3 linked regions of the Bombyx mori genome follow. The main gene of each other region encodes a partner of the protein of the gene in region 2 in a complex. Links are inferred from orthologs where the notes say so. Each region holds a gene or a part of one and is shown on either strand. Other genes may lie near its edges. The genes, in order: mediator of RNA polymerase II transcription subunit 4, mediator of RNA polymerase II transcription subunit 24 and mediator of RNA polymerase II transcription subunit 16.

Region 1 (3,760 bases), on a different chromosome or scaffold from region 2:
GGAACGCGCGGACGTGTATGAGTTCACTGGCTCCACCTGAGAGAGTTTGCCAACACTGGCCCTGGCAAGAGCAATGTTTCGTTAAAACCTACAGGATCAGAATCGCAACCCACTGAGAAGAACTGACGAGAAACTGTTTGGGTTATGTCAACAGGCTAGTTCGCACTTCCAACTCTTAATCGCAGAGTTCGCGTGCATAGATATCGAAAAATAAATTTGGAGGTTAAATTTTTGTTCAAATATAACAAAACGATTATGTGGAATAAATTTTTTTATTATGTCATTTCTATGAGGATATTTAAATAACATTTGAATTAATTCTACAAATATTTTTTTCATAATAAACACAAGCATCAGTCTTTTTAACTTGTTGAGTTGCACTACACTTTTAATCAAAATGAAGTCCACGGTTTTTCTGTATTCATTGTGAATCACTACTTGAACTTGAACTGGAGTCTGTGGACATAACTTCAACATCTTCTTGGTTGGGAGCATCCTTCCCTCGGCCATCAATAGCTACAGAGTTACCGCCTCCAACAGACATGTGTAGCTCGCCTGATGGATGCCAAGTGAATTGGCTTGAAGCTGAAGCTGGTACTGAAATAATATAACACAGTAAACCTGATTAACAAGCAAATGGTTTTACATGTTTTTTTTACCTAATGCAATTAACAAAAGGGTAAAATGTTTCTGTAAAATTCTGATGATAAGAATATTCTTAAATAATTTCCATGGGTTATGGGTTTTGAAGGAAGCCTCTGTTGACAATATTAATAAAAAGAGGTGGCAATAACATAGGAGATTTTTTTTATTCTTTACAAATCCTATAGAAATTTGATCATTAATTCAACTTTCCTGAAAAATATTATTCTTGTATATTTGAGTTTAATACAGTGGTCCAAAACATGATATATCTGCCAAAGCACTTGCTGAGTAGTTTAGGTGTTTGGTGTTCCCTATCACCCACTTCTCTCATAGCTATTAATAACTATGATAATACATGCTTATTGTAGATGAATCAAATTAACTATAACGATAAAGTACCAATACTAGAATTGTATAAATATGTACTGCACAAAGAGTTCTATACATATGCAACTTGTTCTAAGAATGATTCATTAATATAATGAGTAATGCATTTATACCTCCACCAGTTGTTATACGATGAAGTTCATTCAGTGTAGAAGGCGTGTGACCATTCAATGGCAGATCACAGAGGCGACCGAGCATTCCTAATCTCATTTCTAAATCAGTTGGATAAGGCCGACGAGGATCACCAGGTTGCCACGACAAAGGTGCGCTGACAGCATTAGATGCACTTATTCTGTAAAATATCAGTAAGTCAAAAAAAGTTTTTTTAAGTACTATTTAGTTCTCACATCAAAAATAGTGTACTGTCTAATATTTAAAAATTCTTTTTAATGTAATTTAATTAAAGTGTAACTCTATAGTTATGAAAGAAACTGTTTTCTGTAGATAGTTATTTTCATAACATTGTTGGCTATTCAGACACAATACCTAATATCCATTCAGACTTTTTGCATTAATAAACTTAATCAACTGTTAATATACTAAACATCTCATTGATTTATTTGTTAGTCAATGTGCCTACTATCATTGTCTCACTGTTGTCATTGGTCAGGTTTGAAATCTCTGTTGAGATCATAAATATTTAATATTCAATATTTAGGAGTACTCATCATGTGTTTTAAGGACCTGACTCAGAAAAAATATTTAATTTCAATGTAGAAATCTTTAATTGTTTACTAACCTGTGTGCAAATTTGATCAACTCCTCAGAGGGTACAGGTCTCTTTCTAGACTTCACTATTGATGCAAGTTTCTGTCGAGCTTGATACAGTGATGTAGCCAGAATTTGTTCTGCATCTTTCAATTGTCTTTGAAGGTGATATATATCTTGATCCTTAGTAACACAACAAAAACATTTCAATTACATAATTCGCTTGTGGCTTAAATTGTTGTGAACTAGCAGTGGATGAGTCAGTCCACTCCAAAATTTTATCCATTTTTTACTTAAAATAAATCTCTTTTGTAGTATTTACCTTACTATCTACTTCAGCTTTGAGTTCATTCATTTTCTGTTGGATCTTTGCTTGTTCGTCAGCTAGGTCTAATGTTTTTTTCAATTCTCCATGTTTTGATAGAAGTAGGTCCGTCAACTGAGCATGATCTGCAGCGGACACTTTCTGTGGTTTTGGTGCTATGGAAACTTCTATTATTTCCCTGAAAATTTAAAGAATTAGAACATGAAGTTGATCGGTAATGTTTTCCACAGTTCAATCGTGTTTTAACTCACTTAGCAATAAGTTCGATATCATCTATTAGTGCCAATAAGCGATCTTTAGTACTTAAATGTGACGCCATAGCTCTATATAGCTTAACAGCTTTTTTTAATATAAACGATATGTATTATTTCCTTATATCATATGAACTGGACAAACGACCCCCCAACGCTGCGACTCTTGGGATTTCTTGTATCAAAAACGCTACTATGTACGTGGTAACTACATTCAATGTTTACAGTAAAAATAATAACATTGTTTGATGTTTCCAATACAGCAGACGACAAACGTGAAAGTCATAGACTATGTTCCACAGCAAGCACAGACTAATAATTAGTAGAGCCTTGAAATATTTTTCTCTATGATATAGAGAAACTTATTCTCGTACTTTTACAGTTTTTCTAGTTTTAAAGTGAGTTTCAGTATAATTTATATCTACAAACTTTGTTTTATAAGGCCGTAGCCTATTTACGTTATAAGAAATAAAATAAAATTTACTACTGGTAACGAGATGAGATGATTTACTTTTTCTTATGAAGATGGGTGAATGACCTCAAGGCCTATTAGTAGTTACCGGAGCTTAAAGACATCACAAAGTGATTGCTGCCCCCAACTTTAACTTCACTTTTCTATTTTACACTATAAAGTGTGTTCCACCCTTTAAATCAGAATGCATGATTACTTGGCGGCAGAAATACACAGTACGCTGGTACCTACCCATGTAGAGTATTGTAGAGTCTAGTTATTATGATATGATCTCTCAGTAAAATCGTGTTTATTTCCTGAGACGTTAATTGAAAGACTCCGAAAAACCACATGTAGCGATTTCGTTTCATTTTTCTACCCGTTGTGCACTTTCATGAATTTGAACATCGTTTGGTCATCATTCATCGTTCTCGTTGAACCCATCGCTTGCGACGAAGGCTCGGCTAGTAAAATAACCCACAAATAAAGCCCACTGAATTTCTCGCCGGATCTTTTCAGTGGGTCGCGTTTCCGATCCCGTGGTAGATTCTGCAAAGTATTGCTCTTGCTAGGGTTAGTGTTAGCAACGTCGTCAGGTTAGATCCCCGTGAGCTCACCTACTTAATAAGTTACACTGACATAGCTCTCAAGCTTAGATAAAAAAAAACCATTTCACAGGTTCAGAATATTTGTCAGAAGAAATACAATATTGGTGTAATAAAAATATTCTCAAAATAAAGGACATCTGATTCCATCAAAATTATTGAAACACTGCACAAAAAAAATTATTCTATTAATTATTAGACTTGCGAATACTGAAAAAGGATTGAAAGATTGTGATATTGATTGTTATGGTTTATTTATAATTCGTAATTATTGGCGGTATAGCGTAGGTTGTAGATACGTATCTACGACCAAGCTTCCTATTATTGCCACCTACCAGTTATTCGTTTCGGTATAAAGGGCAAGATAATAGACAAAACAGTTGAGACT
Region 2 (3,760 bases):
TTTAACATCTGTTGCCGAAAGTAGACCTTGTTCCCAAGCAAAAAGAACCTCTTTGACTGCACCAGTGATATTCATACAAAGATCATGAGGTTTGACATTAGTATTTTTGAAATCAAAGTCAGGAGCACTCAAATGGTGAATGATAACATCAACAACATGATCACATTTCTGAAGTATCTGATCTGAAGATTTATAATTTCCTTTATGTACCATACAATCCCTTACCCATTTCTCAAAAAATGAATCACCATTTTCTTCTAGAACAACATCAGCTCCATAATCTTGGACTATCCAACATAAAAGCAAAAATGAAATGTCAAATATATATACTTTTGATTGTGGTGCACCTTTTTCACTTGCAGCAAACAATGCAAATTCATTAAACTTAATGAGTCTTGACACAAACATTTTTAGTTTTCCTTCCACAGTTGCAACGGCCAGGATGGTATCCAATGTAGTTCGACCAACTATTTGGCATAGCATGATATAGAGCGACTCTTGAGTTTTGTGAAATTCACCACTCAATGCTTTTAAAATCTCTGCCAATGTAGGTTCAACACGAGTTATAAATAATGGGACTGAGCCTTGTAATCCTATTGGCTCAAATTTTTGTAAAGGATGATCAATAGTCTCACGTTTTTGTTTAAAATATGTCAAAGTATTATCTGACAGAACATTAAGTTTAACTAATGGCTCTATAAGTGAAATAACACTATTACAAGAATTCTTCGTATCAACAATATCCAGGAGTGGAGCTGATTGTAATAACATTTCAAAAGCTTCCACAACCTCAGTAGAATATTCACTTTCCTTATTTGTTGTCCCACACATATTATGGAGGTGATTTATCACTTGTGGAACTTTTAGAAAAGTGAATGCAGCCCACAATGATTGCTTCGATGCATCATTACTAGAATCATTTAGTGAAATGAAACAAGCTCTAATAAGTTCACAGTAGAGACGTGACAATGAATAGCCTTTTATTTTCTGAACCATTAGTAGTTGGCTGGAGATCTGTTGCATGCCTGCACTAGGGTTTGAGAACACATTTATAGCTATTAAAGCCTGCAGACAATAGGTTACAGCTTCTGGTTTATTGTTTAAGGGTGCTATTTTATCCAATTCCATATTGCAGATTTTGTGTAAAGTGACATGTATGGTCATCGGAGGTTTGAATTGAGTGTTCATCATCATAAATGCTGTTATCTCTTGACATTTCTTTGTCACTTCGTTATACTCATCAGGATCATTCTGCTTGGCCAAATAGAACATTGCAATCAGAAAATCTGTATTAACAATAGAGTTCAGTAAAACTGATGATTTCTCCAATAATTCCTGACTTTGAACAGAACTTGAAGCTGGATACTTGGTTAATGAATAGTGAAATACTTGTAAAAGCCACAATATTATAGATGATACAGCATAAGCTAAAACTTCTTCTTCTAACTTGCCTCTGCATGTAATACTCTCCAAAAAGGTTTCAAGGAACTCCAACAAGCTTATTATACAATGAGGTTTGTGAAAAGCATCAAATTTTGCGATTCGTTGTAACACAGCCGCGAAAGAGACCAAATGACACGCAAGTGAATGTTTCAAATACGATATCACTAACTGATTGGCCCCACAGCCTACCATGGCTTGTTGAAGAATACAATCAGCCAGATTATATAGGTCACCACTGACGCCCCTCGGCAGTATAGTTTTGATGTTGATGCCCCATTGAATATCAGTCCATCGTTCTTTCCAAGCTTTTAAAATTAAAGCTTTTAGTGAACTAGTTTTACTCGTTATTTTGGAAGCATCCATTTTTATTGTATTTTATTAGAGCACAATAATGTTTCTTTCTTACATTTCACACATTTTTGACGTGATATTAGTCGTTTAAACAACACTTTACTACTAGTCTTTGAGGTTACAAATTACATTTTCTTGTTCACTGTTGAATATTGAAATTAATTCGTTATATTTGTGTGGCATATTAAGTTTATCACATTTTTAAAGATATTTTATTTATAGCGAGCATTTGAGAATAAACATTACTTTATATGATCAAACTTGAATAATAATAGCCCAATCACAAAATAGACATTTTTTTTTTTTTTTTTTTTTTTTTTTTTTTTTTTTCTTTTTTAGCTTGCACTGTTTGTGCATTTAGCCACATACAAGGGTAAAGGTAGGGAAACAGGAGAAAAAGGAAAAAACGGATAATTAAAAAGAATGGATCAGGTAGGTATTTATATACATAATTACAATTTGATATTATGTTTCAGGATAAAATTTGAAATACATAAATAAATATCATAGTTCATAGTACACAGCAAAGTATTAATAGAAGTCGGGAGTGGAATACCAAGGGATGTTAATAAATCAATAAATGAGGAACAGTCATTTAAGGAGCACGCGAAAAAAATATGATTTAAATTGCCAACATCAGCGCCGCAATCACACATATTGTTATTGACTATACCCAATCTAGTCAAATGAGATGGAGTGCAAGCATGACCCAGTCTCATCCGGATTATGATAGTAGTCGTGATCTTATTAAATCTAAAATTGTAAAACCAAGGCTTGGTAGGAATGACAGATTGTATTTGGGCATAATTCTTTCCTTTATATTGACTAGAAATAGCCCATGTTTGTCCCCAAGATTCGCGCAGGTCTGAATTCGGAAGACACAAAAGATCATTTATGAAGATTTTGTATGGATAAATATCTCCACAATCCACAGCATCATTGGCAAGTTTATCAGCAAATTCATTGCCAGAAATACCCACGTGACTAGGAATCCAGGCAAAAATTACATCGAAACCTTTTAAATTACATTCCCACAGTAATTTTCTACAATCTACAATAACAGGGTAATTGGCGCAAGATTTGAAAGGAAATTTCTGAAGTGCCTGAAGCGCACTTTTGGAATCAGAAAAAATAACAGATTTATGTAATTTCATCAAATTAACATATTCTATAGCTTTAAATAATCCGTAGCATTCCCCAGTAAAAACAGAGCTTTCTGGTGGAAGTTTAATTTTTTGGACAATTTTTGATTGTTGATGATAAACTCCAACACCAACGAGACCAGAGGAAGAATTTTTAGATGCATCGCTATAAATGTAATGTCGATCTGACCACTCTCTATCTAAGATGATATTAAAATCGATATTGGCAGAAAAAATAGATCGAGATATATCTAAGGTAAAATGAATTTTAGGAACAAGAGTTAATGCTTCATATTCAGCAGAAAAAATAGAGAGACGATGAGACATGTGAGTGGGGGCAAGCAAAGAGGAAAATTTACGAAAACTCACGACTAAACAAGGTAGAGACTTGTGCCTCCAGTAGGGGGAAGATGAAACTAAATGTGATAAAGTAGATAATTTGGTATGAAGGGGATGCTTGGTAAATTGTAGAGCACGGAACAGAAACTTGTCACAAAGATATTGACGACGGAGTCGCAGAGGAGGGTCAACACACTCAACTTGTAAAGCATTGATAGGACTAGATTTCATTGCACCGGTTATTAAACGGAGAGCTTTTGATTGTATGCCATCAAGCTTATTTAGTCCGACTGCATTACATGGTTCAAGAAAGTAAGTACCATAATCTAAAATACTTCGTATGAGAGCGTTGTATAGGAGCTTTAGATTATATGGATGTCCACCCCACCAGACTCCAGTTAAACATCTCATAATATTCAAAACTCGTTCGCATCTAGCTATAACGTAATAACAATGTGATAAACCTGATAATTTGGCGTCTAGAA
Region 3 (3,760 bases), on a different chromosome or scaffold from region 2:
TCACGCGGACGATGTCGCGGTCAAAAGCTAGTCTTGGATAATTGGATAAATCTAATAAGAAGCAAAACAGAAAAAATGGGCTAAATTAGAAACTGATTGGTTAAAAGAACTACCGTTCTAAAGGTGGGTAGACAACATAAAGGCCATTGCAGGTTCTACGTGGAAGAAGAAATGTCACGATCACGACAAATTACATTAATAGTATGTACCTAAATATGCATTAAGATTGTTAATAAAGGTTTCTTTATCTTTATAATTAGATTAATTGTCAGAAACAATAAGTAGCTCTGCAGTCTGTTTTGCACCTACTGAGAGATTGCACAAGCTCCCGATACACTCACCCGAATCCCTTGAGAGTAGGAGAGAACCGAAGCATTTGTATTTTTTCAGGGATAACCGCATCTGATTTTTTATCCACGGCCACCACACGACGTCCATTGTGGAAAAAGGCCCCTTGGATTATGTGTTCTCCTGAAATATTTTGTCATTTATTGACAAAAATGAAAAATAAAAAACAAGAAAACATCTTTATTGATATGGCCTTGAAAAGAATCTTTATTACATGTTTATAACTTATTAAGATCTATTCAAAGAAATATTTTTAAAAGCCACCACTCATCATGAGACATGGGACCAGAGTCATGTTGCAGTGACAGCTATCCCAAACATCAATTGGAGCCACATTATGTCTCATGATAGAACAGACAGGGCGATGGTACCAGAATATGAAAATGTTGACTATCTAAGCGTTTAAATAAGGGCTGAATTAAGTTTGCACTTAGAGAGCCATCTGATCTTATATGTTCTTAGGTACCACAAACAACCCCTATGCATAAATCAATTAAAAAAGTTGACTCAAAATTACATTAAAGATTTTAAAATAGCAATGCATTTAGTGTACGACAACATCAGAGAAGTGGCAGTAGTCGTAATGCTTTAAGATAAACAATTTTACTAAAATAACTAGTTTTGTACTTAGGTAGTTAAATTTTTATCTTACCAGGGAAGTTAGCACTGTAAAGACATGTCCAATCATTGAGGAGGAAGTCTTTCTGTCCATAGACAGACACATCACCCACTGTAGTGGCTACTAACAACTGTTTGCCTTCCAGGTCCCACTCTAGAGCTGACACCTGGAATTTGTATCCATTATTTTATTAGAACATAGTTGCATAAAGAAACAAAGTTGTAAGAGTATTTCCATACAAACTTTTAGATAGCTTAATGTATTTTTCCGAACCTATAGACCGTATAAAATAGTATGGTCATCATTTGAGTATAAAATTTGACAGCAAACTTCAAAATTTTGGCAGCACAGGGTTTGAGAATCACTGCTATAAACTAGTTTTTAGATCATTTTGTTAAATAATTGAAATTGTTGATGTGGATATCAATTATAAGTAAGAAGCATATATCATCACAAATACTAAGTTATGAAGAAGTTACAAATATGAGTAAATCATATCTGTAAATCATGAGTAAATCATATCATAACCACAGTGAAATCAATTACTGTAGATCCTAAAATATTGATAATATGAACAGATTGACATTTGATAGCATTAATGTAGATGTGTGTAAGGTTTAAAGAGTCTCACTGAATATTTCTCCAACATAATGATGGTAGGCAATGACGATCATCTGACACTGTTTATCATCTCCCGTAATTGTTTAACTCTTGGTGAGTGAGCTGGTCTGTTCACTTATGCGAACAAAACCTGGCCACATAGGGTTCTAGTCTACTATTTGATATGGAAACTCATTAATAGTGTTAATACATAAAGAGCTCATTTGGTTGTAAAATTATACCACTTTTGAATAACTGATCTGTATCACATAGTTTCATTATACTTTTACTATTTCACACTTACAGGATAAGCTGTACTTGTAACTTTGTGACTGTTCCATGGGGTATCTAAGTCACATACATACACATGACCTCCCCATGTTGCTCCGTCCACATCACTAAGCTCTGTCGGTGATGAGAATGCTATGATATTTGCACATGATATTGTACATATTGGTCGGACTACTTCAGAGTCTTTTACACTAGAAATAGACAACATTATTAAGCATTGAGTTTATGTAACACCAAGAAACAGAAATAATGTTTTACAAACAGAACACAGAACGCATGGGACTATTTTAAAATACTTGAATTTTATGTAGATGTGATAAGTTCTAAAGTCAGCTCTTTTTATAATATACATCCATGAGCTGAGCAGTCTCCTATTACTTTTCTCCTTAATTTGTTATTTTTATCCTTTTAGTGTTTTCTTATGATGGAAGGCATCATGAACAACGGTAACTTAAAAAATAAGTTGATGTTACTGCCGTTAAAGATATCTTAATTTGTAAACTCTTGTTGCGAGGAGATGGTCACGACCCTCAGTATTGAGGAAACCGAAGCAAGAAGAAGAAGAATTTGTAAACTTTAGTAAATTTGGATAGAAATATAAACTTTTGATATAAATTTAAACTATTTACTTTTCGAAGTGCGGAGGTTCACATTTAAGTGGCTTGCGTCTCATAGAGTATATTAGCTCCATTACAAACTACCGCGGACTGCGGTTAGCGATTTGTGAACGAAATGTTTAATGTTTATTAAAATACGCATGTAAAGCAGGTTGGAAATTTGAAGTTAATAAGATTGCAAAAACTTTATTTGTTGATACCTATCACGTCAGTTTTTAAAATGTGTCAAAATGACAATAACGTTTTATTATTGCTTGGATCTGAATTTATATATTTATTTGTGGAAGTACCAATTGTATGTAACGAATGATAAAAGGATTATACGTATTTTTGGTTGGCACGGATTATATTTATTTTTTAAATGTTTTGTCTCCTAGCGATTTCGAATTTCATATTGTATGTCAGAATTTCCATTGCCAATTCCATTTCTCGTTTGACAGAAATCAACGAAGTGTACTAACTTCAGGGCGCTCCGTTTCGTCCCGGGCAATGCCCTTTCAATATCGAATTGTTTCCGAACGTAAGTGGACATGAAAATGGCGGATCGCGTAGTATCGCTCCGAATTCGTTATCTGTGAACTTTAACATAAATATTTTTGATTTTATGTGAAAATGTGATAGTTATGAATTAAAACCTCTAGTGCAGTGGTCTTCTATTGGTTTGAACCATGTTTCGGACAGGGATCGTAGCTTACGGCGTGAGAAACTGGATATTCTTGTGGCTGTCGCTACATTTGTTTACATACGTTCAAGGTAGGCTCCTTTCATGTAAAATACGGCATTTATTATCGATCCATTGTCTTCAAGTAACTGTGAGCTTGCCTGCACATGCCAAGTTAAAATATTCGAGAACTTTGGCATAAGTCATTTAAAATAAGGAAATTATTTACATTTGGATTTAGTTTCTGAAGCGTTTTATTTACTATCTTGCAAATCTACCTAATTTAAGTTTAGTAAGTATTTATGTCTCTCTGACGCTTTTAGAGCGGTTGTTAATAAAATTTATGAGGATGTGTACGGCTTGGGCGCGGTATATATTTTATTACTTTTGGACTAAAGTTATGAACTTTTAATAGAAAATATGTCTTCTTCAATAATACTTTCTGTTTTACGGTCAAAAGTGAAGTTTTGTTATTTTTAATTATTCTGTTTTTTTCTCTGGATAATTTTATTCGATCCTTTGGATTTTTCTGATTTAACTTTATAATTTTGTACTAGTATTACTACATACATAATTATACTTATCCAACGTCTCGTATATTTTATTAAATTGTAACTTTTACCT

What was found.
Region 1: mediator of RNA polymerase II transcription subunit 24 (region 2) and mediator of RNA polymerase II transcription subunit 4 share a complex: the UniProt entries of both Drosophila melanogaster proteins name them as parts of the mediator complex. The link is inferred for Bombyx mori from reciprocal best matches to the Drosophila melanogaster genes MED24 and MED4.
Region 3: mediator of RNA polymerase II transcription subunit 24 (region 2) and mediator of RNA polymerase II transcription subunit 16 share a complex: the UniProt entries of both Drosophila melanogaster proteins name them as parts of the mediator complex. The link is inferred for Bombyx mori from reciprocal best matches to the Drosophila melanogaster genes MED24 and MED16.

What each region holds. Positions count from the first base shown.
Region 1 is NC_085112.1:8,189,743-8,193,502, forward strand, and holds mediator of RNA polymerase II transcription subunit 4, read right to left. Parts: upstream 2,641-3,760; 5' UTR 2,385-2,640; coding exon 2,317-2,384; intron 2,244-2,316; coding exon 2,063-2,243; intron 1,924-2,062; coding exon 1,772-1,923; intron 1,325-1,771; coding exon 1,146-1,324; intron 598-1,145; coding exon 422-597; 3' UTR 254-421; downstream 1-253. UniProt on the Drosophila melanogaster protein: Component of the Mediator complex, a coactivator involved in the regulated transcription of nearly all RNA polymerase II-dependent genes.
Region 2 is NC_085113.1:5,802,325-5,806,084, forward strand, and holds the start of mediator of RNA polymerase II transcription subunit 24, read right to left. Parts: upstream 2,533-3,760; 5' UTR 1,807-2,532; coding exon 1-1,806. UniProt on the Drosophila melanogaster protein: Component of the Mediator complex, a coactivator involved in the regulated transcription of nearly all RNA polymerase II-dependent genes.
Region 3 is NC_085108.1:235,656-239,415, reverse strand, and holds the start of mediator of RNA polymerase II transcription subunit 16, read right to left. Parts: upstream 2,706-3,760; 5' UTR 2,550-2,705; coding exon 2,488-2,549; intron 2,050-2,487; coding exon 1,872-2,049; intron 1,134-1,871; coding exon 1,001-1,133; intron 472-1,000; coding exon 342-471; intron 1-341. Other genes in the region: neogenin, read left to right, coding at 3,144-3,228. UniProt on the Drosophila melanogaster protein: Component of the Mediator complex, a coactivator involved in the regulated transcription of nearly all RNA polymerase II-dependent genes.